Oryzias latipes: one gene and its partners. The protein of the gene in region 1 interacts with the protein of each later gene in a biochemical or structural test. Links are inferred from orthologs where the notes say so. Each region holds a gene or a part of one and is shown in the gene's direction. Other genes may lie near its edges. The genes, in order: disks large homolog 4, adrb1, kcna4, lrp2, tanc1 and potassium voltage-gated channel subfamily A member 1-like.

Region 1 (5,494 bases):
TTTCAAATCTCATTTCAATCTCAATTCTGATTCTTAAAATGCAGCAGCTCTCTAGTTCATCCATGTTCATTATTCAGACTAGCTATACCATGTTTATCAATAAATATGTCTGGAAGGCAGCTTTAGTCTATTTTACATGTCCTGATCTCTAGCAATGTTCAGATTTCCCAGGGACATCCCCAAAGCTCTGCAAGGTTGCTAGAAAAAAAAACTATCAGAAGGGCATCAGCATGTTAAAAGGGGTTTCTGTATTCAATTTAATGCTGACATCACTAAAGAACATAGAGCCCTGCGCCGCAGTCGGTCCTGAGATGAATGCACAATATTTAAATCTGGCCTACCTGGTGCTCTCACTCCACCCTGTGGGCCTTCCATGGCAGCACAATTACACAAGAGCAACTAAACAAAGGTGAAAGAGCAAAGGAGGGAAAAATGGAAGATGGCTGCCTTCATCCAATTAACAAGGATAAAGCTTGTTTTCATGGGAAGTCATGGAAAAATGTCACCTGTAAAGAGACTTCTTAATGCAATACCACTGCTGGAGAAATTGTAGCTCCAATTGAGTCTTTAATCATTCATTTTGGGTCTGATGCAACAATTACAGAAAATGTGTCCCTTCCTGACCATCATGACTTCTAAATAACAATGTACACCATATATCTATCCAGTGTAGATGTTAGAGGAAAAAAAGGATTTCTTGGTTTAAAAAGTAACTTCTAAAGGACCTAAATAACCATATTGGTGATGTAAAAAATAGATCAAGCAAAATATATTGTTTGCATGTAATTTTAAAGGTTTTTATCTTTGAAACCGTCTTAGAAAGTTTTTGGATTAAAAAGGGGAAAGAAAGTGTTTGCCTTATTGAAAACAATCTGTCTTTGACAGGTCCAGAGGAGATACAGTGTGTCGTGCGAGATGTTAGAGTGATCTGTTTACACCCAGTGGCAAAAGTAAACCTTAATCAATGATCATGATCTGTCTGACCACATCAAAACAGAGCTAGTCAATCAAAACACATCACTATTGGTCTGGAGTGTGGATGTGCTTTTAGCACTTGGTGGTTCCAAAACATTTTAGATATAACAAACATAATACACATTTTTTATTATAAAATGGAATTTAAGTAGTGTAACTAAAAGAAGGCAAAATGTTCTCACTTTATATTCTAGTACTTTCTCTAAAAGTAAGTGAATTTTTCAGATAGGGGTTACATATTTTATGAAGAATGGGGAATGGGTGCACATATTTAAATATTTAATTTAATTTAAAAAATATCAGACTGATTATACCAAGTTTCTGATTTCCCATCAAAGGTTTCAGCACCACAGACAGCTCCACTTACAATTTTCCTCTCCCTCCGACAGGGGGCGAAGTGGCCACGCTGTTAGTATTGTGAACAGCAAACGCGGCATCAGAGTAAATATTTTCCCGTTGTTGTTGTTTATATTTGTTAATTTGTTTGTTTTATTTTAGACTTATACTGTTGCTATGATTCCTGTTGTGTTTTTGGGCTGCTTTTCTGCTCTCAGTGATTCCAGCTGCGCGTGGAGTCCAAACTTTACGGTCAATCAAGCAGAAAGAGCGGGGCAAAGAGAGGCAGGCAGACCTGAGTGGAGTGTGAGCGGCGGTGGGTGTGGGGGGTGTTCAGTCTTTCAGACATCATGGCGGTAGACATTTGTAAATGATTGATCGGAAGTCAGCTGCACAGAAACCCCGACGCCAGGCTTCAGGCGGCCGGCTTAGTTTGCGGGCCATCGGTGACTCTCCCAGCCGCGCGCTCCTGCGCCTCCACGGGCTTCGGTCTGCGCCGCGCGCCGCTGTGAGGCTCCGGTCTGATGTCTCTGCCTGTCAGGAATTTCAAGTGTCTCTCTCCGGTCATGTGCCAGTGTAAGGTCATCTGCAGCAACCGGACTCTGTCTCTCATGTTCGGCTGTAAGGTAAGAGGAAAGCAGCAGGAGAAGGAGGAGATGGCCTCTGGAGGAATCCGTAGCATAAAGGCTTCAGCTGTGATCGCATCGTCTTTGACTTCTTTGCATTTGCCTCATTTCATTTCTCCAAGTCCTTTCTCTCCTTCCCCATATCTTCAGATTTTGTTCTATGGACCCATTTGCGCTTTTTGTGCTCATATGACCGATTTCAATGTGCACAGCAGTCTAGAGCATCTCTGCAGCACTGTTTTCTTCATTAAATAAGGCATTTGTTTCTTTCAAATATGTCCTCAATAATAATATGGTCAGAATACAACTACATGTTTAATCCAGCTGGCATGGGTTTTTGACATTGGGAAGTGCACTTTACTGCTCAGAGCCACTTAGATATCATTCATCACCATAAGAACCAGTCTTGAAGAGGTATAAAGATTCATTTTATTCGATTCATATCATAATTTGTGGTTGACGATACATTCATTGTTCATTTCAAATGATCCGATTCAATTGTTCCAGGATATCTTTTGCCAAAAATTCAACCAGTGTGACTCAGAGATAAATACCTGGACAGGTGAAGTTTTCCGGATTCCTTGTATTTCTTGCAGGATTATCAAGTGTAAATTAAATATGTGTACAAACAAACAAGAAAACAAGAATCAAAGGCAAATCCATTCACGTTTAAATTTCATAACGTTTAGCCTACTGTTGTATTTCCACATCAAAATAATCCAAACAGAACATTATAAGAACATTCTACCAAACAGTATGGTCACATATCTTTGCTAAATTCGAAGGGTTTCCACACATTGGACTGGAATGATGGTTGATCATTTTTTGCTGACATATGTGTGTTGTGTGATGGCACTTTTAGGTTACAGTATATAAACCTACCATACCTCAATCTAAATGGTGTTTTCCAATATTGATTATAATTAATTTATTTCATTTTAAAATGATTTTATAATGGTATATGTCAATTTGATTAACTTGCGTCAGACAGATCGATCTGGTTGGATTGTAGGAATATAAAGAAATTCATCAATTGATCGTTACACCCCTACCATATTGACAATATTGAACATGAACTGAGCCTCCGCTTGATGTTTTTTTTTTTTTTTTTTTGGTGGAAACAGAAACAGAGTTAAGCTTTTGCTGTTTTGCTTATCAGTGACAAACAGGCCGGATGTGTTTGTGCTGTTTGGTTTTGGAATGTTGTAAAGAGACTGTGTGATCCCGTGTTCTTTCAATCTGTTTGTCCATCACATCCCAGATTTTTCTCTCCATCCAAAATTCCTGTGGCAAGCAGCCACAGGATACTTATCTCTGACCTGGAATTCTCCATGAAGAGTTTCAGACATTAAACTTCTGGGACTGGATAATTCTTATATATGCAAAAGATGCTGCTGGAAAAGTGGGTTGTTCTGTGTGTGTGTTATGTGGCGGGGGGTCCCATTACTCTATGTGGAGAACAAGCACAAGCAATCCCATGTGTCCCCATCCAGGCCTTCTCCTTCCTCTGTATTTCCATGGGAGGAATTGTGGAAAATATATCAGTTTCCCTGTGTGGATTCAAGTCTCTCAGCTAAAGGCTCGCTCCGTGAAAAGAGCGGTTTGACAGGGAATTAACATCTCAATGAGAGCAGGCTGGGCATGCTTGCACACAGGTTCAGTGGCCCTGACAGCTTGTGTTTGTGTTAGTCTCCTGGGAGTTTCTTCTAGGTGGGATTTTTCTTCTTCTTCTCCATCTTCAGTTCCAGCTGTATATTACAACATTCTTCAAGCGCTCCTGCTACTATCTGCTGTTATCTGACTAAGCTCCCTAAATTTCTTGTTATAAAAGCTCCAACATGCCTGGTCATTTCCCCAAGGTGATCGTCCAAGGTAGTTTATTTGCATAGGCTTTGTTTCTAAGCACAATTGTGCTCCGTCATTTCAAATTCAGGGTCTTAATTAAAGAATAAGATGTTTGCAAGCACTCATCGGTGCTTTGATGTGCTCTTTATGCTTTATACTCATTGATGGCCTCATGGCGTTTTATCAAAACAGCTTGCCTCGCTGAACTTTGTCTCCCGGCTTGGAGTTTTGCTCTGCACTCATGCTGAAGGCTCTGCAATACAGTCCTAATGAAAACAGAATATTCACTTATAGTGATTGATCTACAAGCGATGGATCCTTGGGCCTTCATCTCAATATCAAGATCAATAATCACCTCATCCTCGCCATCGATTGTGGGACGTCTTCCTGGAAAAAGTACGGTTAGGCATTACAAAGCAGCCAATCAGATGTTGGTGAGCAACTAAAAAACAGTGGAATTTAATATCCAAAAAGGAAGGAAGGCATTTTTTTGCTTCGCAGAAGCACCTCATATGTTCTGCTTTCCTCAGTGCCGGATTTGCATTTCGCTTCCAAGATGCGCCCGTTTTATCTAAAGCTTTGCACATATTAATTTATAGCTCTGACATTAAGCTTTGAGCATCATCAAAGTGAGGTGGTCAGGATTTATTTGTGCTCTACTGAGGTCCAAGGTGGATCTGCTCGGGATCAGCACCACCATGTCAACTCCTTCTATTTTTATAAATAATTTTATATATAGCACTTGCAGGTTTTAGTAGCTACATCACAAGCCACAAAAACTCAGACTTCTCCTTTATTTAAATGACGCTTTATGTCTGAGCGGATTAAAGAAAGTTGTCATTCAAACTTGACAATTTGATCCTTCCCAAATATCAGAAATAGAACATTACCGCAGGTTAGCATTTGGTTACTAGAATCAAATCTGCAGAATTCTTGACTCCACCTTCATAGGAAACCAAGAGTCACAGCAAGTGAGTAATGGTTTGGCAGTTAATGCTCTTTCAACTGATTGTCCTTTCTTAACAGAACATTGTGTAACTCTGTTTCCTAGGCATCTAGCATAAAAAATATTCATCAACAGACACTCAAAAGTAATTGGTTCTTTCATCAAGCAAACTATAGAGCATCAGTGTCCTCTTTAGGTTTAGTAGAGTTAAATCCACAAAATTGATATTTTTCAATGTTTTGTGTGTCACTTAATTGTACTATGTACCTTCAATATATGCTGTAATCTGTGATCAGTATCTGAAAACCTAGTTTAGTAGGTAGTCGTTATGACTTAGGCTATATCCCAATTCTCTCATTACTCCCCCTAAAAGGGTAACACAACAGGACAGTTGGAGGCTGACTCCACTCTCAGCCCAGATTTGAAAAATGCAACAAAATAAAGGGGAGGCGGGCTGAGATGGGGGGATGTGGTCTGGATCTGTGATTGCCAGTGACAGTGAGGTTAGCTTGAGGTAACGTACAGTCACGCTGCATCTTCAATAATGGAGATTGATACAGAGCAAAGTCATCCCAGTTTCACCACAGAACTTTTGTTGGAGGTTGAGGAATGTTCCCGTTACTTCTCCTGAGACAGGCGCCCATGGTCCAGAACCTTATCGTTTCGAGCTGCTGGCTCAAGAAGCTGCCTCAACAATGCCCAACGGCGGGGCTGCCGGTGTAGGTACCGAATCTGTTGAACCTGCAATAAATGTTCGGCTGCGACT
Region 2 (5,477 bases), on another chromosome or scaffold:
CCAGCATATCCCACCCAGACCACTGACGTCGGCATTTTGCCTAAAACTCCTTAAGTTAGCAGTTTTTAAAACAATACGATATGACTCAAGGAGATGCTATAACAGACCCAGTTTCATGGACCTCTTTGCTCACTGAGTTCATTTGCACTCAGCCTTACTAGCAGCCTGTAAATCCCTCCTTACAGCATTCCTCGAGTAGTGCTTTTGTTGTGCAACTGGTCTGCATGAAGGTTTAGAGAAATTTTCTAAGGAATTGGCAGAAAAAGTTCTGGCTTAGATCTTTGCACAGTTCATATTTCTTCTTTACAAGAAAACATGTGGGAATCAAAATCTAACCCCCATACACTAAATTTTAAGGCTGTTTCTATGAATTTTAAATTTTTATTTTTTAATTAGCTCTTACAATTGAATGAGTACAGTTACAAAAACAAAAAGGTTTCCCCCATAGACAGGGTCTGCAACCTGAGACTCTGGAGCCTCAGGTTTTCCTCAACAGTGGCGGAAAAAGGGTTAATAACTTGAAGAAATAATAGGCTTCTGGTTCGGATAGTTTTAAAGATTTTGTCATAAAAGATCGAAATGGTGGTTGTTCATTTACAATCAGCGTGCAATAAATATAATAAAAAGTATTGTTGTTAACGTCAACTGTTTTTGACCATAAATAGCTGGAGAACCATTTCTATCATGTTTTTTATGTATTTATTTTCAGCTGATAAAACAAAACCTAAACAGCATAAACAGAAATTTAACAATGATTGACAATATTTAAAGTTTGTAAAAAGGGATTTGGATGAACATTAAAAGTCCCCTTTTTTTTCAGTTGGAAGGTTGTGAGTTCAAATCCAGGCCGAGTCATACCAAAGACTCTAAAAGTTTTTTTTGATTCTTTTTATTTATTACATTTTAATAAATAATTAATAATTAAAATAAATAATAATTTGATCTGAATTCAGTCTCTAAAGTTTATATTTATACAAACTGTATTTTTTGCATATTACAAAAGGTTGAGACTGAAAACAAACAGAGAAGGTTTTCAGGAAGAAAGTAAATATCAATGAATCTTATTTATTCCTTTATTTCTATTGCGTATATCACCCTTTTACAATTGTTTTAAAAACTTTTTTATATTTTCAATTTTTAATGTCTTTCTTGCAATTATTCCACATGTGAACTGGGGTTTTTTAGTCTTAAATAAAATGATATAGCTCTGTTTATGAATGTCATCTGTCAAACCTGACTAAATTAACCAACAAGCTTTCAACGTAAGACTATTTGTCTTAAGAGGACTGAGGACAGAGGACTGTGGACAGAGGACTGTGAACAGAGTCCTGCGTTTGCCGCTTCTCTTTGGACCAAAATAGGAAAATTCTAAAATGGTCCTCAGAAATATATTTTGGTGTTTATTATTGGAGCTGAATGAAGAATTTGAGAGTTTATGATTCCCAACCAACCATTCACTTGAGGTGAAACTAATCCAAAAGAACAAGGAAAGCCTCTAATTGGCCCCTGAGCTTAAGGGGTCTAACCCATGACTCCTGAATGTGGATTTAGATTGAAAGTACTTTTCCAGCAATGAGGTCACTTTAAATATGATAAAAATAAGCTTTCCCAGGTTTATTTTCTCAAAAACAACCAGTCTGTCTATCTTAGGGTCACTTGAGGGATGTTAAGACTGCTTCATGGTTGATGTCATGTTTCAGCTTCAGACGAGGGGTCACAGAGGTCATGAGGAGTGGTCCAGAAATAAATCCAGCTTCTTCTTTGGTGTTTAAACTTTAAACGCTTGCCGTTCAGTCAGTTCCCATCTGGAGCTCTTCATGTTCATTTGAACCACTCAGCCCGTGGACAAGGAGAAGAGAGGTTGTCGACAAGGAATCTGGGAATTCTGACTGCCAGTCAAACCCAGCGTAGCTTTATGGCTTCTGATAAGGTGGGAGTCGATCTCAAGGGAAGCATTTCTGGAGGTAAAAATATAAATGTGGAACAACAAATCTGGTTTGCCATGGAGGGTGATGAAAGCGGGAAAATCCCTCTGGATTTTCACTTTTGGCCTGGTGTTCCCACAGTGCTGGAATTTTTTTTTTCAGGAAACAGGGACAGTTTGTGTTAGTAAGTAACAAACATAAAGTGGTGCGTTTTAGGGTGTTTTATTTTCAGAAATATGATACAAAAAAGAGGCCGAAGTTGATGTTGCCTCCTCTGATCCACTGGGACCTTTGTTCCACTGGACTGCCTGATTGGTCGCACTGATTGATGATGTCACCCGTGTTTCAGTCCCCGCTGGGGGGGCATCAAGCGCAGAAGAAGAAAGCAGCTCCAGATGGAGTTTGCGCGCGCTGGGATTGGAGCTGCGTCTCTGTCGAGCGCAGCAGAAGGAAACGGCTGCTGCGCGCTGCCTGAATGAACTCACCCTGCTGTCAAACGCAGCGCAGCAACGCGCCATGGGGGACGGCGGCGCGTCCTCTCCAGTGACCCCCCACAACGGCACTGGAACCGAGGCGTCCAACGGGCAGGGCACCGTTCCAGCCGCGTCCGAGCAGTGGACAGCAGGCATGAGTCTGGTGATGGCTTTGATTGTGCTGTCCATTGTTTTTGGGAATATCCTGGTGATCTTGGCCATAGCCAGGACGCAGAGGCTGCAGACCCTCACCAATGTGTTCATCGTATCGCTGGCCAGTGCAGATCTCATCATGGGCTTACTTGTTGTGCCGTTTGGCGCTGTGCTCGAGGTGCGCGGCTTGTGGCTTTACGGCTCTTTTTTCTGTGAGATCTGGACCTCTGTGGATGTCCTCTGCGTCACCGCCAGCATAGAGACCCTGTGCGTAATCGCCATAGACAGGTACGTGGCCATCACTTCACCTTTCCGCTACCAAAGCTTGTTAACCAAAAGTCGGGCCAAAGCGGTGGTGTGTGTGGTGTGGGCCATCTCTGCGCTGGTCTCCTTCCTCCCCATCCTGATGCACTGGTCCCGCGACAGCATGGACACGGACTGCTACGAAAACCCCCAATGCTGCGACTTTGTCACCAACAGGGCATATGCCATCTCCTCCTCCGTTATCTCCTTCTACATTCCTCTCGTGGTGATGATTTTTGTTTACGCACGCGTGTACAGAGAAGCGAAAAAGCAGCTCAAAAAGATCGACAAGTGTGAGGGCAGGTTTCACAACACCCTGACAGGGCTGACCTCCAAGTGCAAGAAGAGACCTTCAAAGATCTTGGCGCTCAGGGAGCAAAAGGCGCTGAAAACTCTGGGAATCATCATGGGGACGTTCACTCTGTGCTGGCTGCCCTTCTTCATAGTCAACGTTGTGCGCGTATTTTGCGCAGAGCTTGTGGACAAGAACGTCTTCGTGTTCCTGAACTGGCTGGGTTACGTGAACTCTGCCTTTAACCCAATTATTTACTGCCGGAGTCCGGACTTCAGGAAGGCTTTTAAGAGGCTGCTGTGCTGCCCGAGGCAAGCCGATCGCAGGCTGCACATCAGCTCCTGCGACCTGACGCGCTGCTCCGGCGGGTTCGTGTCAGCGCTGGAGCCTGGCACGCTGGAGATGTGGTCCGACTGCGCCGTGTTGGACAGCAGCGACAGCATCCTGGTGGGGACGAAGCTGCCGCGATCTGAATCCCAGCTGTGAGGTGGATTAATGCACTCTTATGGGAAACTCAAAAACAAAACAGAAATAACTTGATGATCCTTCTTTCTCAAAAGCTGTGCGTAAAAGTCATCCTCCAAATTAGCTAGAATTTTTTTATTGCAATTTCCCATCTGAATCAATTCACAATGCCGACGGATAACGATTTATTTTATATAAATCTGCACTTTGACTAATTAAAACGCAAATCTTCCTTTCATGGAGGAAGAACGAACACCTAAGCAGAAAATGTTTCATCATAAATCCGTGGGATAACTTTCTTCTCTCCTCTCTGGAGAAGGGGAGAAAAAAAAATATTGCTCCACCTTAACGAAGTACAACAGTTCATCTGTAAATGGCGGCTGATGCGCACTTTTCATGAGCAAAAACCTTTTGTCCAAGTGTTCAATTCCTCTTACAATGTGTTTTACCTCACAGCAAAGACAAGTGCAATTTGTATGACATGTTGTTGTTTATATTAAACATGATGTAAAATAGCTCTGCATTTACTCTGTCTTTTTCAGCTGGGAAATGAAGGACAGGTGATTGTATATAATGAAGTGTTAAGCACTAAAGGGAGGAAACTGGGCCTCTCTGACTGTCTGTCTCTCTTATTTTAAATGCTGTTATGAGGTGGTGCTTCTGTGAAAATAAAAGATGGTTTCATTCTTAAATGTTGGAGCTTTTATTTCCTTCCAGGGAGCAATGACACTAAACTTCTCCACATATTTTTGAATATTTTCCTTTTTCATCAGCTACAAAGTAAGAATAGAAGAGGTATTTTATTTGAAATGTATATGGCATCAGGTGATGCTTTCAATGCGTGGATTAGGACTGCTGGATCAGGGTCAATCAATTAGCAAACAGCTTTTTCTTCTTTTCCTTTCGGCTTTTCCCTACAGGGATTCCCACAGCCAATCAGCTTTCTCCATCTAACCCTGTCTTCTGCACCCTCACCTTTAATACCAGCTACCTTTACGTCTTTGTTCACTGCATCCATAAACCTCCTCCTTGGTCTTCTTCTAGACCTCTTGCCTGGCAGCTCTAGACTCTTTCTGTCTCCTCTGGACATGCAAATCATCTCAGTCTAACTTTATCTCCAGGACTCCTGATGTACTCAGTCCTGATCCTATCCAAACAGCTGATTTACATATTTTACACTTTGGATTTAAAAGATTTTGATTATTTCTTAGCTCTACCTTGCTTTTTTCTTGTTGTTTCTGCTTCAGAATTGTCGATTTTTAAAAGAAAATTCTAAAGTTTTCAAGTTTGAGCCACTTTAAACAAAAAACAACTCTGTAAAAATCAATTATTATATAAAGATTTTTTTTATTTAGTTAAGGAGAATTTTAAAATTTAAATTGTAATTTAATCATGTAGTTTTTTAAATAGCCTAATTACTAACAAGGCTTTGGGGGGGGCATGTTCATTTTCTGCAAGAGGATATTTAATGTTAATTTTGCTGATTTTGTTCTATGCTTTTGTGCATACTTGTGAAATTTGTTCAGACTGTAAATTCTGGGATATTCTGCACACTACGTGCAAAAAGTGGGGGAAAATGCATCACTATCAGCAAGGTTTTAGGCGGAACTGAAAGATAATGAGTTAAAATCTTTGCATGAAATGAAAAAGAAAGGTTTAGTATTCTCTGCTTGTTTGCTCAAGTCTCCATCAAACGCAGCATTACATTTCAACCTCACACAGTTAACTTGAGCATTTTTTACATCGTTTGGAGGATTTTCCACAGCATTACAGACTCAAAAGCCAGGAATTTTAATGGACTAATTTGCGCTCCTGCAAACAAAGAAGTCATTTGGTAACAATGCTGCAGTTCCAGGTGGGTGAACT
Region 3 (5,110 bases), on another chromosome or scaffold:
GTACGGATATGCCCAAGCACGGGCGCGTGAGAGGGAGCGCGAGAGGGAGCGTCAGGCTGCTCAGTCCAGAGCGGCGGCTGCTGCGGCGGCGACCGACGGGGGCCCTGCTGCGGAGGGAGGAGGAGGAGGCGGCCATGGAGGGGGGTCCATCTCCACCACCACCTCCTCGAGCGCTCATCTCCTTAACAACCGCCAGCATCAGTCTCGCGCCGCCTCCTCCTCAACGAGCGCCAACATCAGCAGCGGCGCCGCCTCGCGCCCCTCCTCCTCCTCCTGGCACCAGCAGGATCCCGAGCAGCAGCAGCAGAGAGTTCTCAGAGAGCGGAAAAAGCAGCGCGGCGTCGGACGGTGGAGACGCAACCGGGGGACTCTCGGCGGAGACCTGCGCCACTCGGAGCTGGCGCTGCTCGGATCGGAGGAGGACATCATGATAGAGGAGGAGGAGGAGGAGGAGGAGGAGGCTGAGGGAGCAGAGGAGGAGGAAAAGGAGCAGCAGGGGGGCCGGGGAGACAAGAGGTCCAGCTTTCTGTGCAACATGGACGAGGATGAGGAGACCGTGTCGATCACGGACAGGCGGCCCCAGTCCGGGTACGAGAACGCCTACAGTGAGTGCGGCTGCTGCGAGAGGGTCGTCATCAACGTGTCGGGTCTGAAGTTTGAAACTCAGCTTAAGACTCTCTCTCAGTTCCCGGACACGCTGTTGGGAGATCCCGACAAGCGCATCCGATACTTCGACCCGCTCAGGAACGAGTACTTCTTCGACCGGAACCGGCCGAGTTTTGACGCCATTCTTTACTATTACCAGTCAGGGGGGAGACTAAAAAGACCCGCCAACGTCCCGTTTGACATCTTCTCCGAGGAGGTGAAGTTCTACGAACTCGGAGAGGAGGCGATCCTGAAGTTTCGGGAGGATGAGGGCTTCGTGAAGGAGGAGGAGAAGCCTCTGCCGGAGGACGAGTTCAAGCGTCAGATCTGGCTGCTGTTCGAGTACCCGGAGAGCTCCAGCCCTGCCCGGGGGATCGCCGTGGTGTCCGTGCTGGTCATCGTCATCTCCATAGTCATTTTCTGCCTGGAGACGCTGCCAGAGTTCAGGGATGAGAAGGAGTATCTGCAGCCGCGGGACAACTCCTCTGAGCCCGACCACGGATTTACGCCCTTCAACGACCCCTTTTTCATCGTGGAAACCGTTTGCATCATCTGGTTCTCCTTTGAGTTTATAGTTCGCTTCTTTGCGAGTCCCAGCAAGACCGCTTTCTTTAAAAACATCATGAACTCCATAGATATTGTCTCCATTTTGCCTTACTTCATCACCCTAGGCACGGATCTGGCGCAGCACCAGGGCAACGGCCAGCAGGCGATGAGTTTCGCTATTCTGAGAATAATTCGCCTCGTCCGGGTGTTTCGCATCTTCAAACTGTCCAGGCACTCCAAGGGGCTGCAGATCCTGGGTCACACCCTGCGCGCCAGTATGAGGGAGCTGGCCCTTCTCATCTTCTTCCTAGTTATAGGTGTCATTCTTTTCTCCAGCGCGGTGTACTTCGCCGAGGCGGACGAGCCCACCTCTCAGTTCACGAGCATCCCCGACGCGTTCTGGTGGGCCGTGGTCACCATGACGACGGTGGGCTACGGAGACATGAAGCCCATCACCGTAGGTGGGAAGATAGTGGGCTCCCTCTGCGCGATTGCGGGTGTGTTAACCATCGCGCTCCCGGTGCCTGTCATAGTGTCCAACTTCAATTACTTCTACCACAGGGAGACCGACAACAACGAGGACCAGACACCTGTGGTGGAGAGCATGCCTCCAGGATGTCCGTATTTCCCCGACTTTCTAAGGAAATTCAAAGGCTCGCCCTCGGGCTCCTCGCTGGGGGATAAAGCGGAGTACATGGAGATGGAGGAAGGGCTGACGGAATCGCTATGCGGGTTGGACAAGAGCCCCAGTAAAGGAAACGGCACAGACATAAGCAGAAAAAACAGCACTAACTCTAAATCTATTCAGACAGACGTGTGATTTTTTCTGAAAAGACATTTTTTGCCCAGCATCAGGTGACTACCCCTCAACTTTTACGCTCCATTCAACCCCTCTTACGCACTCATCCACCCCTTTCACAGTGGCAGGAAAATGCTCCATTCTTTTTCTTTTTTCCTCAACACCAACTTCAGAACCATATTGTATCATCTGAGCTGCGGGCTTCCAACTCTAACATCTAAGTCCAGTTCCACAGAAGAGACAGGCTATGCATTCGCACTTTATGAGTTTTTTTGTCACATCCGAGGGGTAGGGACGATCATTTTGCTGTTATGCAATAAAGTTATCATTTGTTTGCACTAAATTAGTATCTGCGCTGGGTTTGGGGCAAGTTCCTGTAGAGACAGAAAACTGTAGGCCATGCTGGCAACATTTTAGGAATAACTTTACGGAAAAATGTTAGAGAAACTTCTAAAAAAGCAAAGTAACATAGAAAACAACAGCGTTTAAACCCTACCAAACTGTACTCCATTGAAGAAGAAAATAAGACAGAAGAACTACCTTTATCTCTGTTCCAACACTTAAAATATGAATATATATCCATAATTGTTATATATCTTTCTAAAGAGGCTTTATTTTAAATGAGTCAGGGCTACATTGAGATACGTAGTTTAAAAAAAAAATCCCCTTCCTATCCTAAACTAAAGTAAATCATCACCATGACAAGAGTTAAGCACATTCATCATCATTTATGGCTGGAGAAATGACTCGTTGCAGGTCATCTGGACATTTTTGGAGCCTTGAGACAAACCCCTCCCCACCTTTTTTTTTTTTACATTTTCCTCCACTTTCATTCAAACCACCTCAAAGTGACAGTATCCCTTTACAAGATGGAAGATTATAGCAAAAACGACTGTTGTGGAAAATTCTTCAAGGAGAGTTTACGCGCAATTTTTTTTCTCAAGTCAATGCACAAGCGTACATGGCTCAGAAAACCAGCGGAATAAGGATGTCTTCCAAGGTATGTGACTTTTACTCCTTTTTAATTGACACAAAACACACAAACAAAGCCTCTAAAAACAGGAACCACTTGAAGAAAATCCATGCAATGCATTTGTTATTTTCTCGCCCTTGGATGTATCTCCACTACCTTGGTAATCTCTTAGACCCCCCCCCCCCCCCCAAAAAAAAAAGAAAAAGAAGAAAAAGATGCATGGATGCGCGTGCGTAACCGTGTGTAAAACACGATATGAACGCTGGACGACTATGACGCACATTCCTGCCAACATCAGTTAATGTTTCTCCTGTGCAACTTTACAGCTACCCTCAGACCTCATTTGCAACAATATCACAGCGTTTTTCATTAATAACGGGGGCAATTATTTCATCCATGATGACATCAGGTCAACTTCAGGGGAATTGTACTTAAACTTTTGTAAAAAAAAAAAGCAACACCTCATAATTCTGAAGCTCATTAATACACAATCTGAACCCCATTTTTTATCTTCATTTAAAAAAAAAAAAAAAAAAAAAAACATCACTCAGAGTAATCACTGACACCGTTTTTATACTCTTGGCTGTTGATAAGAGGTTTTGCAGAATCCCAGCTGCATTTCTGTCTAAAGTAACACAAACACTGTAATTTAATGAGATTTTGTTTTTGCTTGATGAAAGTATTTTAAACCTCCAAAATAAAAGGAAAGAGAAAAGAGGAAAAAGAATCATATCAGGGTTGTCTTCCAACAGAATTCTTGCTTTAGCTTCTTATTAACTTTACTAGATAACTTACTTTGTGTGTGAGAAAAGAGGGGAGAGACTATGTGTGTGTGTGTTTGCAGAATTTGGCACAAGTAGGATGTTTTTACAACCATCTGCTGAAGCAGGAACGTTTCTCTTTGAGCTTCAGCCAAAGAAGAGTTCACATGAGCAAAGGCTGCATGACAAGTTTGTGGCTTTGTGGTCAAATATATATCCTGTACTCAGTTAAAACGTCAAAACTCTTAGCGCTCTTCATCCTTGAACAGTAAAATAAGAGAAGCTTTAAACAAGGAAAAATTTACAACATAATGGATTCTGAATGAGATAAAGGAGGGTTATTTCATGCGATCGTACTCTAAAACTTTACTGCATCTCTCAAAGAAATGAAGGAAGGTTAGTTTTGGGAAGCTACTGCAAAAATAATACCAGACGTGTTGAGCTTTACCTCAAAAGTTCAACAAAAACAAAAGAATAAATAGAAATTTACCACCTGGTTTCAAATATGCAAGTAGGCAAGATGCTCATTTTGGAAAAGTGCAGCAATGATTTATACTGCAAGTTGCAAAAAAGTGGAGAAGCATTTGTTACTGTCAAAAAGTTGAAAAAGGTAAGCAAAGGTCCTGTAGAACTTTGCTGTTCTTTGATGCCAAAAGGCTCTGTAATGTCAGCAGCCAGAACGTTCCTTCCAGTAAAATGGTTCTGTGCATCCATCACTGCGTCAGTCAAAGCATCAGCATGTACTCATTTATAGCGATGAGTGTTTGTGTATTTTGTTTGTGTAAGGTATTTTTTCATTCCCGCCCATACCTGAACCTCACACGAACCAGGATCTCCCGCTTAAACCTCACAGTGAGCGCTGAGAGTGTGTGTGCCTCATAGGAAGAAATACAGTTGAAAGTGTTCTTTAATCAGTATGCGGGTTAGATGCTTTGTGAGGCTTGTGGCTGCTGACTGGACTGTGAACACAGCCTGTATCATCTTCAGCCACAGGCACTGGATGATTCTGACTGCTCATGGCGTTCCGTTGTCACGTGCAGGCTCAGTCTTTGCAGTGTAAATTTAAAACATATGGCTGAGCCGCGCGACAAAGTGAGAGTTATTTAGGGTTATTTCACGCAAAGGTATTCAGTGTCCGTTCAAGGACACAGAGAAAGGGAGGAGAAAAAAAGAAGCCGGGTGGGACAAATATGAGAATAAATTTTGTTGTAAAAAATGAAGGCCATAAAATACTTTCAAGTGTATTTTTTTGCCAAATAAAAACCTGGACTGAGCTTTTCTTATTGTAAAAATTTGCCACCAATTATTTTTTCTGTGTCACAGAAAATAGTTTCACTGAGCAGCAATAAAAAAGTTAAACTTCTTTAAAAAAAGTAAGATAAAAAA
Region 4 (3,794 bases), on another chromosome or scaffold:
TGACGAGGCATTCCAACTGCAAAAAAGATTTGGACATTGGTCCATAATATGGACGTAAAAAGTAATAAAAAGATAACTGCTGGTGAAATACTTATATATAATTGTTTTCTTTACTGTAAAATCTGTTAAACTATTTTTATCAAATAAATAAAGTAGAAAATAACTATGAACATGTAGATTTTCAGTCATGTAGGTCATGTTGTCCCAGCATTATGTTCTATTACTGAACTGAATTTTTAAAAGTAAAACGTTAATCTACGAGACGTTTCCTTCCTCCTCAGTTCTACCAGCTAATGGGTAATTCAGGTTATTTATGTGCTGACTGCTGCAGAGTTAAATAGTTAACTTGTGCTGTTTAAGGGTTGGACAACAAAGCTGACTTTACATTGCTTCCCACTAACTTATCAGAAAAAGTTCTGTACAAGCTCTCCTTACTTTTTTGTGCTCAAGCAGGAAGCTGACTTTCAGATAAAAAAACACAAATTATTTTCTTTCTTTCTGTCTTTCCTTTATCTATCTATCTATCTATCTATCTATCTATCTATCTATCTATCTATCTATCTATCTATCTATCTATCTATCTATCTATCTATCTATCTATCTATCTATCTATCTATCTATCTATCTATCTATCTATCTATCTATCTATCTATCTATCTATCTATCTATCTATCTATCTATCTATCTATCTATCTATCTATCTATCTATCTATCTATCTATCTATCTATCACTTTGTGTTATGTTCTATATGAAGAGTGCTATATAAATAAAACTTGATTTTATTTTATATAAAATAGACATAAAAAGGAAGGACATGTTGCATAGATAAAAAGATCTACAAATGATAAACCATAAAAGCTACCAAATACTTAATATCTCAATAAATAAATAAATAAGTTGATTTAATTAGTTATTTGAAAGCTAAAATAAAGAGATGTCCATATCTATCTCCCTATCTATGTATATTCAATATGATGAAAATTATTGTCCTTTATTTTAAAAGGCTGTAAACAATCTGCTTTGGTGTAAAACACACAGGCTTTGCAATAAATACTAAAGCAAATTAGACAACTACATTTAGCTGTACATGGCACTTGCCTTAGACAAAGATATGGATACCGGCTTTTCCATGATAAACCTGCAGATCGCAGATTTTCCATCATTAACAAGAAACGATATGTTTTGTTTGGTTTAGAATGTCCTAATGTATTTAAAGACTAAATAAAGTGTTATGTCAGTTTACATTGTTCCATCATCTGCATCATTTTCTCATCATTAAGATATCAAATGTTAAATATTTGCTAAAACTTTCAAATGTTTGGAAGATGTTAAGATGTCACACTGACTTCACCACAAAATAAACACGTTTTTCTTGCTTCTTCAGAACAGTTTAGGATTATGGGAGTGCTGACAGTTTTCACTGATAATATGATTAAGTAAATAATGGCAACATGAAATAATGTATTTGACCAGACTTTAATTAAACAGTTTTAACTGTCGGTTGAGACGAGGTGCTCTGGCTTTTCTAACAGGTGACCGTTAACGTGAGTGGAGAACAGCTGGAGAACAACTTTGTAAACCCGGCGTACCGTGGAGATCAGACTGCAAGCATTATCAGCACATCTTCTGTCAGCAGCAAACCTGTTCAGGTGAGTGTCCACACACCACATGTGCATTTTTATGGATCATTTATGACATGCGATCTCTGTGCTTGCTTGTAGGAGTCAAAGTGGAGTTTTTTCAAACGAAAATTGAAGCCAAGCACCACCTTTGAGAACCCTTCTTATTCAGAGGTAGGTGTGGAGGCACAATCCTTTCCATGTGTTTCTCAAAGTCAAAAATACCAAGGTGTAACTTTTGTTTGGTAGATGAAAGATGAGAAGCCTGTTGAAAACAAAGAGGACTCCTCCAACCCGGAGCCCTCTCCTTTCACGCCACCTGCCAAACCTCAGAAGAAAGATCGTCCTGGGACCTTCACGCCCACCGAGGACAGTTTCAAAGACACAGCAAACCTCATTAAGGAAGACAGTGACGTATAACCCCCGTCTCGAGACGGGACTCAAAGAAAAAAAACACACTTTGCACAGAATTTATTTTTTTATGCAGCCTGTGTACAAAACTCAAATCGTTTTAGGGTCAAAGATTCATCTCTACAGAACAAAAACAAAAGTCTTTCGAGAAGATGCCTTCTGACATTTCTTCTGCCAATTCTTGTGTTCGTGTTTTTCTTTATTTTGATGTACAATATGTATGTCTTTGCACTGAAGCTGCTGATAGAACTGTTAATATGTTGTATATTTGTAAATTTGAACAGTGAGATTATGTCCGAAATATCTCAAAAATTGGTAGCAGATAGATCAATATAAGCGAAGCATAACAACTATGAAAATGTGGGTTACATTCCGAATGTACAGTACTTATATGATCAGATGTTATCAGAGAAATAATGAATGTTGGATTATTTTTACCAAACAAAACTGAAGATGTATTTACGTCTTGCTTGTTTTCAATTTTCAGGGCTGATGAATTAAAAGCACAAAGAAAAATTGGGCAACAACTCATTCGTGTCAGTTAGGTTTCAATTGCAGATTAGGATTTTAAAAGAAAAAGTGAGCTTGAATTTGTGTGCAAAGAATAACTTATTGTACTTAATCACAGTGGGGTGAACTCAAATCAACCTGATTGTTTTTAACGGAGTGGCCAAAAGAGTTTGTACACTGCTGTGTTGTCTTGAAGGGTTTCATATGACTTGAGGATGCAAATGTTAACGTTGAAATTGAGAAGTTTCTGTTTTCTTCACAGTTTTTTTTTTGTATCATGAAGATAAAAATGTGGGATAACGAGAGAAATTTTCTGCTGCTGAGACACAAACGAATAAATTTCCTATTTTATAATGCAGTTTTGACACTTTTTCTGTCCTTGGAATTGCACCCAATTTGTTTCATGAAACACGAGCAACTTCGACTGATAAACTAAGAAGCTTTTCTGTTGTTTTTTGCTTCTTCTGGGCATGGCAGGAGCGTTTTCACCACAAAGTCTGCCACAAATGAAGGCAGGTATGACAGTGGGATCCAGAAAAGCTTAGCATCCCATCCCGCTCCGTAACGTGTGCGTGGGAACCGCGCGGTCAAGGCGTGCTCCATGCACCTGGTCACCTTTGAGAGGTCTGCGCTGCACAACATCCTCATGGAGAAGTCCTGCACTTTCGTATCTGAGAAAAGAAAAAACACATATTAGGAGCTGCTTCATACAATTATGCTGTAAATCAACTGTACCTACAGTCTTTCAAATATGTGTTTCCATATGCGTTTTTAACATGTTGAGGTAGGCGGGTCCACAGTCTCCTCATGTCAGCATTGATTAGATCAACGCTGGTCACAGCTGTCTTGAAGAAACCCGGCTCGATGATGCTCACTTTGACACCAAAATGACTCATGTCTTTCCTGAAGGAAAAGAGACGATAAATTGCCGTATTAGAGGTTTTTTCGATTTCAACTTCAGAAGAATTGAAAAAGAATCTACATAAACATCAAATTTAGCAAATAATACCAAATACCTAATAATATCTAATCTTGAATCTTTCTGCCTTAGCTCCCCTCCTTTTTTTAAGAAACAAACCAACATAAAAAATATGTTTGAGTTCCACACCGTGGATTTAATCCTATGTGGGAATGTGCAAAATGCCAGAAAATATTTTATTGAGAGGCCCTGTGAAAGAATGGTGCCCTGTCCAAGATATACCCAAACCCACACACCCTGAAGGAGATGGGATTAGCTCCAGCAGGTTGGACAT
Region 5 (5,006 bases), on another chromosome or scaffold:
TTTGCTGCATCAAGACAAATATACATGACTTGGGATGTTAATAAAATCCACATATTTGGGTGCATGTTGCAAATTTAAAATTCACATATGTCCTTAATCCAGTTTGTCCAAAGATTAAACACTCACTTTAATAAATGTAATTATATATCCAGAAATCTAGATGTCCAGATTTTATTTCTCAACTCTATTTCAAAAAGAAATCCCTAAATCACGAAAAAAAGAGTTTGACACAACCACGGTTTTTACCCCTGTATCACACTGAAAAGATGCAGCCAGAATGCTCATGGTGACTAATTTACAGTTTAAAGAAAATGAGCGCTCAGAGAGGTATTCATTATCGGTTTCACCTCCTCAGCTGCAGAGTTGATCAAGCAGCCCTGCAGCTGTGACAGATCCAAATCACACCCGGTTTTGTTTGAATGTTCCCATCAAAATCATGTATTCTTATTTAGGAAGGGAGATTTTCCCATCCCATTACAAATTCTTTGCTAGAACATGTATTTGTACCAACAGGCCTGCTGAGTTCTGTGTTTAAATAGAGACAGATTAGAGTGTACCTCTGTGCAATCTCCATTTTTTGTTAAGTCCCTCTTAGGGTGCAAAGCATGTCTGGGCTCTGCAAAGAAATATTATTGAACTGCACAGACTCATCATTCTTGCTGCAGAGCAGAGACCAACTACAGTTCTTTATTATATTCACACGCCATTCCCTCATTTCCTATTGTATCTGGTTTTAATTATAATTTGGGGATTTAAGCAGAAGATGTTTGGGATATTTTTATGTTAAATGAGGTTTTAAGCAGGTTCCGAATTTGATTATTTTAGGGGGTATAATATAATTTTTTTTCTTAAACGGATTTGTATGCTGTGCTGAGACTGTTCGACTTTCTGAGACACAGCAGTTTTTCTCTTGCCAGTTCTTAGTTTCTTTTAATACAAACATGTTAAAGACCCGCCCACTCCAATCATCTTTGGATCCATTTTTAAAACTTTCCCAGTCGTCTTTTAAGTAGGATTATGCTGTTTTTAGCCCAAATAAAAAGATAGTTGTGATCCACCCAGTGTATTTTCTACGTCACCTATAAGCTCTTTTTCAAGCAGCATTGATGATTTGAATAAATAAATGGTCAAAATGCAATTTTAGCTTCATTTTCTTTATACATCTCCTCCAACATCAGACAAATGCCACAAGGACACGTTAAAGACACCAAAAACACAATTTCCATTGGAGTTGGTCTTTAAAAATGCACACAAACACATCTTTACCTATTTAACCTCCACTGTATTTGTAGTAAAAGTTAAATCTAGTTTTTTCTTTTAACTTTCACTTTTTTGTCTTAATATTTTGCTTGTGCATTACCTTCTAGATGAAAATAAATAAGAAAAATTATGTTCTGTCTAATCCTTCAAAGTAATTTTCCCTAAATCCTTTTAAAACCCTCAAAAAGTCAATGTTCTGTGTTTATTCTATTAGAACATTTGTAACGTTCAGTTAAAATCAATATTTTCATAAATCAGTATATATTTAGTCAGAATAAAAACTGCATTAGATAATGGATCTCTTCTGTATTGCATGACAGGACATGGCTGCAGAGGTCATGACCTTTTAAAAACAAACCTTAGGCGAGTTGTTGGGTGACTCTTCTGTGACAATGGTCAAACAGCTGCCATTCCTCAGTCCAGCTGTTCTCCTGCACGCTGGTTCGAAGCTGGCAGCGCTCCCAGTGCGCTTCTTGTTGCTCCCTGGAGCACAGCCTAAGTTTAGCTTCTTGGAGTCATTGTTCTGCTGGAGGGCCGAGTGAGGAAATCCACATTTTTAAGCAGATGGAAGGTGGGGCTGTTTTCGGCTCCGATGACCGTTGGCCCAAACGGGTGATGTCAGTTAGATACAGAGGATCGGCAGCCCCTCAAGTTCTCTGGGATGACTGTGAAAGCAGGGCTTCTCTGATTCTCACGGTGGATCTCGCTGCTCGTGGAACCAGAGCTCCTTTAGGACGCCTGCATCTGCTGTAAGCACCCGGTGTCTCAATAGACTCTTGATTTTGGTGTCAAAATGAATCAAACTGCACTGTGTGTTTGGCAAAGTTTGTTTGCCTTTGCTGGCTGATGATTTTCTGCTCATCCCTGAAATGATCTGTGTGTGTGTGAGGCCTGGAACATGAGGCAGGAATTTAAAGACTTTGACAAGCAGAAACCTAATTACCCGTTTGTGACTCAATTAAACTCTGGGTTTAGCTTGCATTTCTTCGCTTGTTTAGAGTTTGCGGACTAATGAAACTGTCATTATTACAAAGCTGCAAATTTTAGTGTCCTCTCAAGCTCTTGCTGCCTGATCAACATGTCAATGTATCATCAGGAGTATTTCACTTGCCGAAATGAGTGAAGCAGCAATACCTGGATTCACAATGAGAAGTTTGTGCTACTTCCTGTTTGCAGCTCTGACGGCTGCAGCCGGCAGAGGAAAGATGGAGGTCTGCAGCTTCCTCCTGGATCAGGGTGCGATAGTGCAGCAGGTGAATCGACGGGGGGTTTCTTCCCTGTTCTGTGCCGTCAGACAGGGACACTGGCAGGTGAGAGTTCTTTTTGTTAAGTCTCCTGTATCCACGGCAACCACGGCAAAGAAAAGACCAGAGGGAGCCGGCATTGAAACGCTGTGGTTTTTCACCAGAATGCTATGTTGGTTTGTTCCTCAGATCGCCGAGCTCCTGTTGGAGCACGGGGCTGAAATCAACATCAGTGACAAACAGGGCAGGACCCTCCTCATGGTGGCGGCCTGCGAGGGTCACCGAAGCACCGTTGATTTTCTGCTGTCTAAAGGTGAAGCGTTCAAACCCCTCCTCAGTGAGCGCGTGTGAGCGCCAGCGTCCTGACGATTTCTTCCTCTTGAAGGTGCTTCGTTGACCCAGATGGACAAGGAGGGTCTGATGCCTCTCAGCTGGGCGTGTTTGAAAGGACATAAGGATGTTGTGCAGTTCCTGGTGGAGAAAGGTGCGATCATCGACCACACGGATAAAAACGGACGAACTCCGCTGGATTTGGCTGCCTTTTATGGAGACGCAGAGATTGTGAGTAAACCTTTCATCCATCCGAGACGGTGAGAGCGATTTAGCTAAGCGCTCACTGTGTTTGTCATGTAGGTCCAGTATCTGGTGGAACAAGGAGCAGTGATAGAGCATGTGGATCACAGTGGGATGAGGCCTCTGGACCGGGCCATTGGTTGCAGGAATACATCGGTGGTGGTGACTCTGTTGAAGAAAGGGGCCAAGCTAGGTAAAAGTTCATCTTATGTGGCTGCACCTTACCCCTCTCACAGAAAATCAGTCAACTAGGGAAAATGCATTTTCCATCCTATCCAGCCATGCATGTTCAAGTGGCCACTCCCAATAAAAAGTCTTTGTAAATTTGTGTATGCGGGTTTTAGACCTTCACATTCAAAAACATTCTACCGCCATTATCGGGCTCTACGTCCATTAAACACGTGCTGCCTCTCAAGGTTAAACTTTGACCAGTGAGGGACTGGGATGGCGTTCCTTTTAATTCAGGGAAGTGCCAACCATTTGAAAACTGATCATGGAGGAGAAATCAATACTTGCTCTGTGGCTAAGTCTTTCATTCATTGGAATAGAGCTGCAAAAGAAAAAGCCTGGAGCAAGATTTGCAAACTTTGCACCGCTTTGACATCAGTAAACAGTTGCAAAAGAAGAAGCCCCTCCCTGCTTGTCCAGTGTGAACACTATGGTCCAAACATGTCACATGCCTGGTGTGATCGTAGCTTCAGGTTTGTTGATAACCAAACTTTCATATTACTCGTTATTGTTGTTCAAAAGTAACCATCAACTTTACAATCTTGCTGTCTCAGAGTTATAATGTGTAACATGAGTCCTCCTTTTTAATTATAATGTATGCAGAAATAGACCATGAACTAAGAAGTGGCAAATAGACTGCAGAGTCTTTTACACTGCCAGTAAAAAGTTGTTTTGGGGACTCATCAAGAATATTGTTTATGTTGGAAAGTTGAAAGCAGAGAAGGCAAAACTAAAAGACCAACCCAGTCAGTTTAGTCCATAAAAATTAAATTTAGGATAAAATAACAGAACAAATATTGAACGGGAGGGAGGCCTGTGTGCTTTAGGAAAAAAACATTTAAAAAACCTGCCAAATAAAAGCTGCTTAAAAATACTACAACTAGCTTACATTTGCTTAGTTAAAAAAGACACGACTGACAGAAAACAGGACCTATTGGTAATACAAAAACAAAAGGGTTTTGGTCTGTGAGGATTTTTAGCAAAATTACTCCCATATTGATCAAACTGCTTCTTAAATTTAGACATAGTTAGATTGGGGCTGTGAGGGGCTGTCAGCAGCAGGAGAGCAAATAACCATGGATAATAGGAAGTGAGGGCAGCCTTGCTCCGAGCCAAGAGGTGAATATCTAATGAACTCTTGCTGCTCTGCAGAAACTATGTCCTAGAAAACCAGATATCTTTTTTGATTTGGGCTAAAAACGGCATAAAGACCACTTTGAAAATGGATCAAAACAGGATCAGACTAGGACTTTAAGTCTTGAATGCCAGCTTGTTTTCTAGTTTTGCATATAAAATGACAATTTTTTGTAGATTTGCAAACAAAGTAAGAAAAAAAAGTTAAAAACATATTACCTATGCTACTGTTTTAAATGTTTATTTGTGTAAATATCTAAAATCAAGAAAATCCTGGCTAGATTAATGAAATGTGCTGTTCTGTGGGAGTTCAGTTACGTCTTCATCAGCACAGAAACTGCTTTGTCTGTCTGGCTTGTTTATCCCAGCTTGGTCCTAAGAATAATTCCAGACGAACGATATGGAATGTTGTGGAAAAGCGTTCCAGCTCTGCTTCTGTCTGACCCGCAGACCGGCTGGTCCATTCCTCCCTCATGTGCTGCTTGACTAATTTTAAGCATTTAGCAACACTTCCAGCTGATATTCAACCATTTTCCTGTGTCTGCAGCCTCTCTGCTGTTTCAGCTA
Region 6 (5,444 bases), on another chromosome or scaffold:
TTATTCATACAGTGAAATATATTTTGTTGTGGAAATCAGACAATGTTGACTGTTCCATTTCTATATCTTAAGTAACCAAAATAAAAGTACTATGAATTTGCCGGGGTAAAAGCAGCTTCTATACAGTGGTGGACAAAATTGTTGGTACCCCTCAGTTAAAGAAAGAAAGTCCACAAAAAACAAACTAGTGAAATATGGCTGGACAAAAATGATGGTACGTCCATAAAAGACTGAACTAATAGCCCAGGGGGTCATGATGAACTCAGGTATGTCCTTTGATTGACATCACAGCTGTTTTCAAACCCACAATCAGTCTGTCTGCCTATTTAAAGGGAGACAAATAGTGAAAAGGTGTGAACCAGACTGAACATGGACAACAGAAAGCCATGGAGAGAATTGTCCCAGGACATTAGAAACACAATTATAGACAAACATGGTAAAGGTAAAGGCTATAAAACCATCTCTAAGCAGCTTGAAGTTCCTGTGAGCACAGTGGCACATATTATTCAGAAGTTTAAGACCCACGGGACAGTAGCCAACCTCCCTTGGCGATGGAAGAGGAACATTGATGACAAATTGAGGAGACGGATAGTTGGAACTGTCTCCAAAGAGCCCAGAACAACCTCCAAAGACATTAAAGGTGAACTCCTAGATCAAGGTACATCAGTGTCAGATCGCACCATTCGTGGTTGTTTGAGTGGACTTTGTGGGAGACGACCAAGGAGGACACCACTGTTGAAAGCAAACCATCAAAAAGCCAGACTAGAATTTGCAAAAATGCATGTAGACAAGCCACAAAGCTTCTGGGAAAATGTCCTTTGGACAGATGAGACCAAACTGGAGCTTTTTGGTAAGAAACATCAGCTCTATGTTGGTTGACTCAAAAATGAAGCATCCAACCAAAAGAACACTGTCCCTACTGTGAAACATGGAGGAGGCTCAGTTCTGTTTTGGGGCTGCTTTGCTGCATCTGCCACAGGATGTCTTGAAGTTGTGAAGGTCAAATGAGATCTCCAGATTATCAAGGCATTCTGGGTAGAAATGTGCTGCCTAGTGTCAGAAAGCTTGGTCTCAGTCGCAGGTCATGGGTCTTCCAACAGGACAACCATCCAAAACACACAGCCAGAAACCCCCAAGAATGGCTCAGAGAAAAGCGTTGGACTATTCTGAAGTGGATTCTATGAGCCCAGATCTGAATCCCATTGAACATCAGTGGAAGGAGCTGAAACATGCTATTTGGAGAACCGTCAAACCTGAGACAACTGGAGCAGTTTGCTCATGAGGAGGGGGCCAGAATACCTGTGGACAGGTGCAGAAGGCTCATTGACAAATACAGAAACCGTTTAGTTGCAGTGATTGTCTCAAAAGGTTGTGCAACAAAATATGAAGTTATGGTTACCATCATTTTTGTCCAGCCCTATTTCATTAGTTTGTTTTTTTTAAATAATTCTGTTCATCAAAAACTCAAAAGTAATGGTTGATTCTGATTTTTCAATTTTCAATACATATTAATTTATTGTTCCCTTTGAACCTTTCAAGTCATTTCAGTGAACATTGTGGACTTCCTTTCTTTAACTGAGGGGTACCAACTATTTTGTCCACCACTGTATGTGATACAGTTGCAGTGCTAAACATTGTAATCATTAAATAGACTGCATTAGATCGTATTATTACGATGAAAGACACATTAATATCCAGGTACAGTTTTTTAAGTCATACTCCTAAAAAAAAAAGTTTTCCAATAAAATATCTGGATACGTATCGTATCGCCGCTGTCCCCCTTCAGGGGTCGCCACAGAAAATCCGCTTTTACTGATTTACTCAGAGTTTGTAGCCGCTTTCAAGCGGTGGGGGTGTGGCCTTCTAAGAAGCTCCCTCCTGATTGGTGAGAGTGGTTGTCATAGAAACAATGACTCTGACCCATTTGGATCAAGAAAGTCAATTCAGTTGCCATTTTTGTCTGAATCACGTCCGTGTCGTGCAGAAATGGTGACTGAATCGACCCCCTCTGGTTGGAGCTGGTTGGAGCTTCATGGATGACGTCACTTAGTCCAGAACGGCGTAGGCCGAGCAGAACTGCAAACGTTTGGAGTTTCTGGAGCATTGTCATGGGACGAGTCTCTGCTCGTTTGGTCCACAAAAACCACAGGAATTCTGGAGGAATGTGACGTCATGAGCTTGGAGGTGGAAACGCCGCCAGCTCCAAGCTGAGGAGCATCAGTGACGACTGGAAACTTTCAGCGTTCATCATCTGAAACCTCAACTTGATTGTTTGTTTGTTTTTTTCATCACCAAAAGCTGACAGTTTGTTTCCAGCGGTGTGTGATGGCTCGATGACGTCACAGAAGCACGAGGAGAGTCGTGTTTCCTTCAGGGTCTTTGACCAGCGCGGCTGAAAGGAACAAAGAAGATCCTGGAGAAAAGGCTCCTTCAAAGGACAGAGTGCCGCCCGGGGGCCGCCCCCCCCCCCCCCACAGGAGAGGACTCGGACACAAAGGCAGAGAAGGCGAGGAGCTGGTCACGTGGGAGGACGGCTTTGGGAGAGACAAGGAGAGAGGGGGGGGGGGGGCATTCTTTGAAAAGGACATTCAAAGCGTGAAGAAGAGCTGGAGTCCAGAGTCTTCATCAATCTCCCACATAATCCCCGCCCACAAATCAGAGACTCCTGCCGCTCTGCAGAAACTATGTCCTAGAAAACAGAACTAAAACGTCAGAGGATGAAAAGGGAACTGGGAACGCTCTGAAAACAGATCAGAGGACTCGACCTCTGAGACCGGTGGGTGTGAAGGGTTCCCTGGAGAACCCAGAGAACATATTGGTTCCGCATGGAGATATTTGCACAAATGTTCCTTAGAAGAGTTCACGTCCCTGTGTTTTTGGAGGGGGGGGGTGTCTCTGAATGCTGACTGACAGCACAGAAATGCAACCGCCGTGCGCGCGCTTTGTGCCACAAACGGAGCGCGTCTCCGCTGCTGGAGAGAGGGAGGGAGCGCATCTCTCTCTCCTCTCAGACGTGTTTCGGTTTTCCGCGGCGGCTGAGCGCGCGAGCCTCACTCCTGACGTCAGGAGTGATCATCGCGGCTGCTCTCTAATCCGGGTCTGCGTCTCTTCCCGCGGTCTGGATGTTGACATCTCTCCCAGCTGCGGCGCTCCGGAGCGGCGGCGTTCCACGCATGCCCCCGCGCGCGGAGCAGCCGTGATCCAGAGCTCAGCTCCGCGCGCACAGCCCCCCCCCCCCCCCCCCCCCCTGTATCCGGACTCAAACCTGCGGGATGTTCGGGCTCCACGCGCCCCCTCAGCTTCTGCTTCAGTGACCGTGGATGGCAGCGGCATGGAGATCGCCTTGGTGAGCTTTGAAAACGGCGGCGCCAAAGGCGGCGGCGGGAATGCCGAGGAGAACTGCCGGCACGCGCTGGAGGTCCCTCAACCGGGCTTCGTCCAAACGGCGCTGGGAGAGGAGCGCGGGAAGGAGCTGAACACCCGCGGGAGCCCCCGGCAGCAGCTGAGCCCCTGGAAGATCAACGACATGAACACCACGCTGAGCTGCAGCGAGAACGCCATGGATGCGCTTTTACGCGCGGACCACAGCCCCCACCTGTTCGACGAGGACCTGCTGGACATGGACGTGGACGCGGAGAGCAACGAGCGGGTGCTCATCAACATCGCCGGGCTGAGGTACGAAACCCAGCTGGGCACTCTGAACCAGTTCCCGGAAACGCTGCTGGGAGACCCGGCCAAGAGGATCAAGTACTTCGACCCGCTCCGGAACGAGTACTTCTTCGACCGGAACCGGCCCAGTTTCGACGGGATTCTGTACTTTTATCAGTCCGGGGGGAAGATCCGCAGACCCGTCAACGTGTCCATCGACGTGTTCGCCGACGAGATCCGGTTCTACCAGCTGGGAGAAGAGGCCATGGAGCGGTTCCGCGAGGACGAGGGCTTCATCAAGGAGGAGGAGAAGCCGCTGCCCCAGAACGAGTTCCAGAAGCAGGTCTGGCTCATCTTCGAGTACCCGGAGAGTTCGAGTCCGGCGCGGGGCATCGCCATCGTGTCCGTGATCGTCATCACCATTTCCATCATCACCTTCTGCCTGGAGACGCTGCCGGAGTTCCGGGACGAGCGCGAGCTGGCCGTGAGCGTCCGGCCGGACAACGGCACGGCGCCGCGGCCCTCCCTCACCTTCTCGGACCCGTTCTTCATCGTCGAGACCACCTGCGTCATCTGGTTCACCTTCGAGCTGTTCGTGCGCTTCTTCGCGTGTCCCAGCAAGTCGGAGTTCTCCAAGACCATCATGAACATCATCGACATCATGTCCATCATGCCTTACTTCATCACGGTGGGCACGGAGCTGGCGGAGCAGCAGGGCCAGGAGCACCAGAACGGCCAGCAGGCCATGTCTCTGGCCATCCTGAGGGTCATCCGCCTGGTCCGGGTCTTCCGGATCTTCAAGCTGTCCCGCCACTCCAAGGGGCTGCAGATCCTGGGCCAGACTCTGAAAGCCAGCATGCGCGAACTGGGGCTGCTCATCTTCTTCCTCTTCATCGGAGTCATCCTCTTCTCCAGCGCCGTGTACTTCGCCGAGGCGGACGAGCCCGAGTCCCACTTCTCCAGCATCCCCGACGCCTTCTGGTGGGCCGTGGTTACCATGACGACGGTGGGCTACGGGGACATGCGGCCGGTGACGGTCGGGGGGAAGATCGTGGGCTCGCTGTGCGCCATCGCGGGGGTTCTGACCATCGCGCTGCCGGTTCCGGTCATCGTGTCCAACTTCAACTACTTCTACCACCGCGAGACCGACCAGGACCAGTCCTCCCTGAAGGACGAGCCCGCAAGCGGCCGCGCCAGCCCCGAGCCGCGGCGCCGGGGCAGCCGGGCCTCCGCCAAGTCCCAGGACGCGGAGAAGAACGAGGGGGGCGACGGGGGGGAGAAGAACATGAAGGCGAACAGCAGCGTGGACTTCAAGAAGTCCCTGTACGCCTTCTGCCTGGACACGCGCGAGACAGACCTGTAGACCCGGACCCGCCCGAGCCCGCAGAACCGCCCCCCAGCCTCACCCCCCTCCCCCGGGCTGCACAGGCTCAAAGGTCTCAACCCTCAACCTCAACTGTCCGCGCGTGCTCGATTAAGGAAAAAACTTGCGCGTGAGCTAGTGGGAAACGGGAGTGAGGCGCGCGCGCAGCCGTCAGGATATGGGATCATTTCTGGACACGCAGAGGATTAACGGAATCTGAACATGAACCTCGAGTGGGTCTCACGCTCACGCGCACAGACTTCAGACGAAAACAGAGGATCTTTTTTCACGGATTTTCCTTTTCCTGTTTGAAACTTTCAAATCGAACTTTTCTGACAAACTGAGTGGAAGTACGACAGGAGCGGGGAGCACGTGCACGGAGGAGGCGCGCACACATCAGGTCAGTGTCAAGCGTGCGCGCATGTTTATGGCA

Evidence for each region.
Region 2: the proteins of disks large homolog 4 (region 1) and adrb1 form a complex in vitro, tested with the Homo sapiens proteins (2 studies listed by BioGRID and IntAct, with this or other methods). The link is inferred for Oryzias latipes from reciprocal best matches to the Homo sapiens genes DLG4 and ADRB1.
Region 3: the proteins of disks large homolog 4 (region 1) and kcna4 form a complex in vitro, tested with the Homo sapiens proteins (8 studies listed by BioGRID and IntAct, with this or other methods). The link is inferred for Oryzias latipes from reciprocal best matches to the Homo sapiens genes DLG4 and KCNA4.
Region 4: the proteins of disks large homolog 4 (region 1) and lrp2 form a complex in vitro, tested with the Homo sapiens proteins (2 studies listed by BioGRID and IntAct, with this or other methods). The link is inferred for Oryzias latipes from reciprocal best matches to the Homo sapiens genes DLG4 and LRP2.
Region 5: the proteins of disks large homolog 4 (region 1) and tanc1 interact in a test that uses a peptide from one of them, tested with the Homo sapiens proteins (2 studies listed by IntAct, with this or other methods). The link is inferred for Oryzias latipes from reciprocal best matches to the Homo sapiens genes DLG4 and TANC1.
Region 6: the proteins of disks large homolog 4 (region 1) and potassium voltage-gated channel subfamily A member 1-like form a complex in vitro, tested with the Homo sapiens proteins (2 studies listed by BioGRID and IntAct, with this or other methods). The link is inferred for Oryzias latipes from reciprocal best matches to the Homo sapiens genes DLG4 and KCNA5.

Annotation. Positions count from the first base shown.
Region 1 is NC_019872.2:14,364,250-14,369,743, forward strand, and holds the start of disks large homolog 4, read left to right. Parts: upstream 1-1,645; 5' UTR 1,646-1,835; coding exon 1,836-1,937; intron 1,938-5,494. UniProt on the Homo sapiens protein: Postsynaptic scaffolding protein that plays a critical role in synaptogenesis and synaptic plasticity by providing a platform for the postsynaptic clustering of crucial synaptic proteins.
Region 2 is NC_019877.2:5,428,531-5,434,007, forward strand, and holds adrb1 (beta-1 adrenergic receptor), read left to right. Parts: upstream 1-1,775; 5' UTR 1,776-2,441; coding exon 2,442-3,632; 3' UTR 3,633-4,303; downstream 4,304-5,477. UniProt on the Homo sapiens protein: Beta-adrenergic receptors mediate the catecholamine-induced activation of adenylate cyclase through the action of G proteins. This receptor binds epinephrine and norepinephrine with approximately equal affinity.
Region 3 is NC_019861.2:9,905,076-9,910,185, forward strand, and holds the end of kcna4 (potassium voltage-gated channel subfamily A member 4), read left to right. Parts: coding exon 1-2,011; 3' UTR 2,012-3,661; downstream 3,662-5,110. UniProt on the Homo sapiens protein: Voltage-gated potassium channel that mediates transmembrane potassium transport in excitable membranes. Forms tetrameric potassium-selective channels through which potassium ions pass in accordance with their electrochemical gradient.
Region 4 is NC_019879.2:21,617,519-21,621,312, reverse strand, and holds the end of lrp2 (low-density lipoprotein receptor-related protein 2), read left to right. Parts: intron 1-1,533; coding exon 1,534-1,650; intron 1,651-1,722; coding exon 1,723-1,794; intron 1,795-1,869; coding exon 1,870-2,040; 3' UTR 2,041-2,899; downstream 2,900-3,794. Other genes in the region: retinol dehydrogenase 7-like, read right to left, coding at 2,974-3,212, 3,281-3,444. UniProt on the Homo sapiens protein: Multiligand endocytic receptor. Acts together with CUBN to mediate endocytosis of high-density lipoproteins. Mediates receptor-mediated uptake of polybasic drugs such as aprotinin, aminoglycosides and polymyxin B.
Region 5 is NC_019879.2:20,905,902-20,910,907, forward strand, and holds part of tanc1 (protein TANC1), read left to right. Parts: intron 1-2,436; coding exon 2,437-2,570; intron 2,571-2,693; coding exon 2,694-2,817; intron 2,818-2,889; coding exon 2,890-3,065; intron 3,066-3,137; coding exon 3,138-3,270; intron 3,271-5,006. UniProt on the Homo sapiens protein: May be a scaffold component in the postsynaptic density.
Region 6 is NC_019881.2:23,511,089-23,516,532, forward strand, and holds the start of potassium voltage-gated channel subfamily A member 1-like, read left to right. Parts: upstream 1-2,152; 5' UTR 2,153-2,899; coding exon 2,900-5,011; 3' UTR 5,012-5,411; intron 5,412-5,444. UniProt on the Homo sapiens protein: Voltage-gated potassium channel that mediates transmembrane potassium transport in excitable membranes. Forms tetrameric potassium-selective channels through which potassium ions pass in accordance with their electrochemical gradient.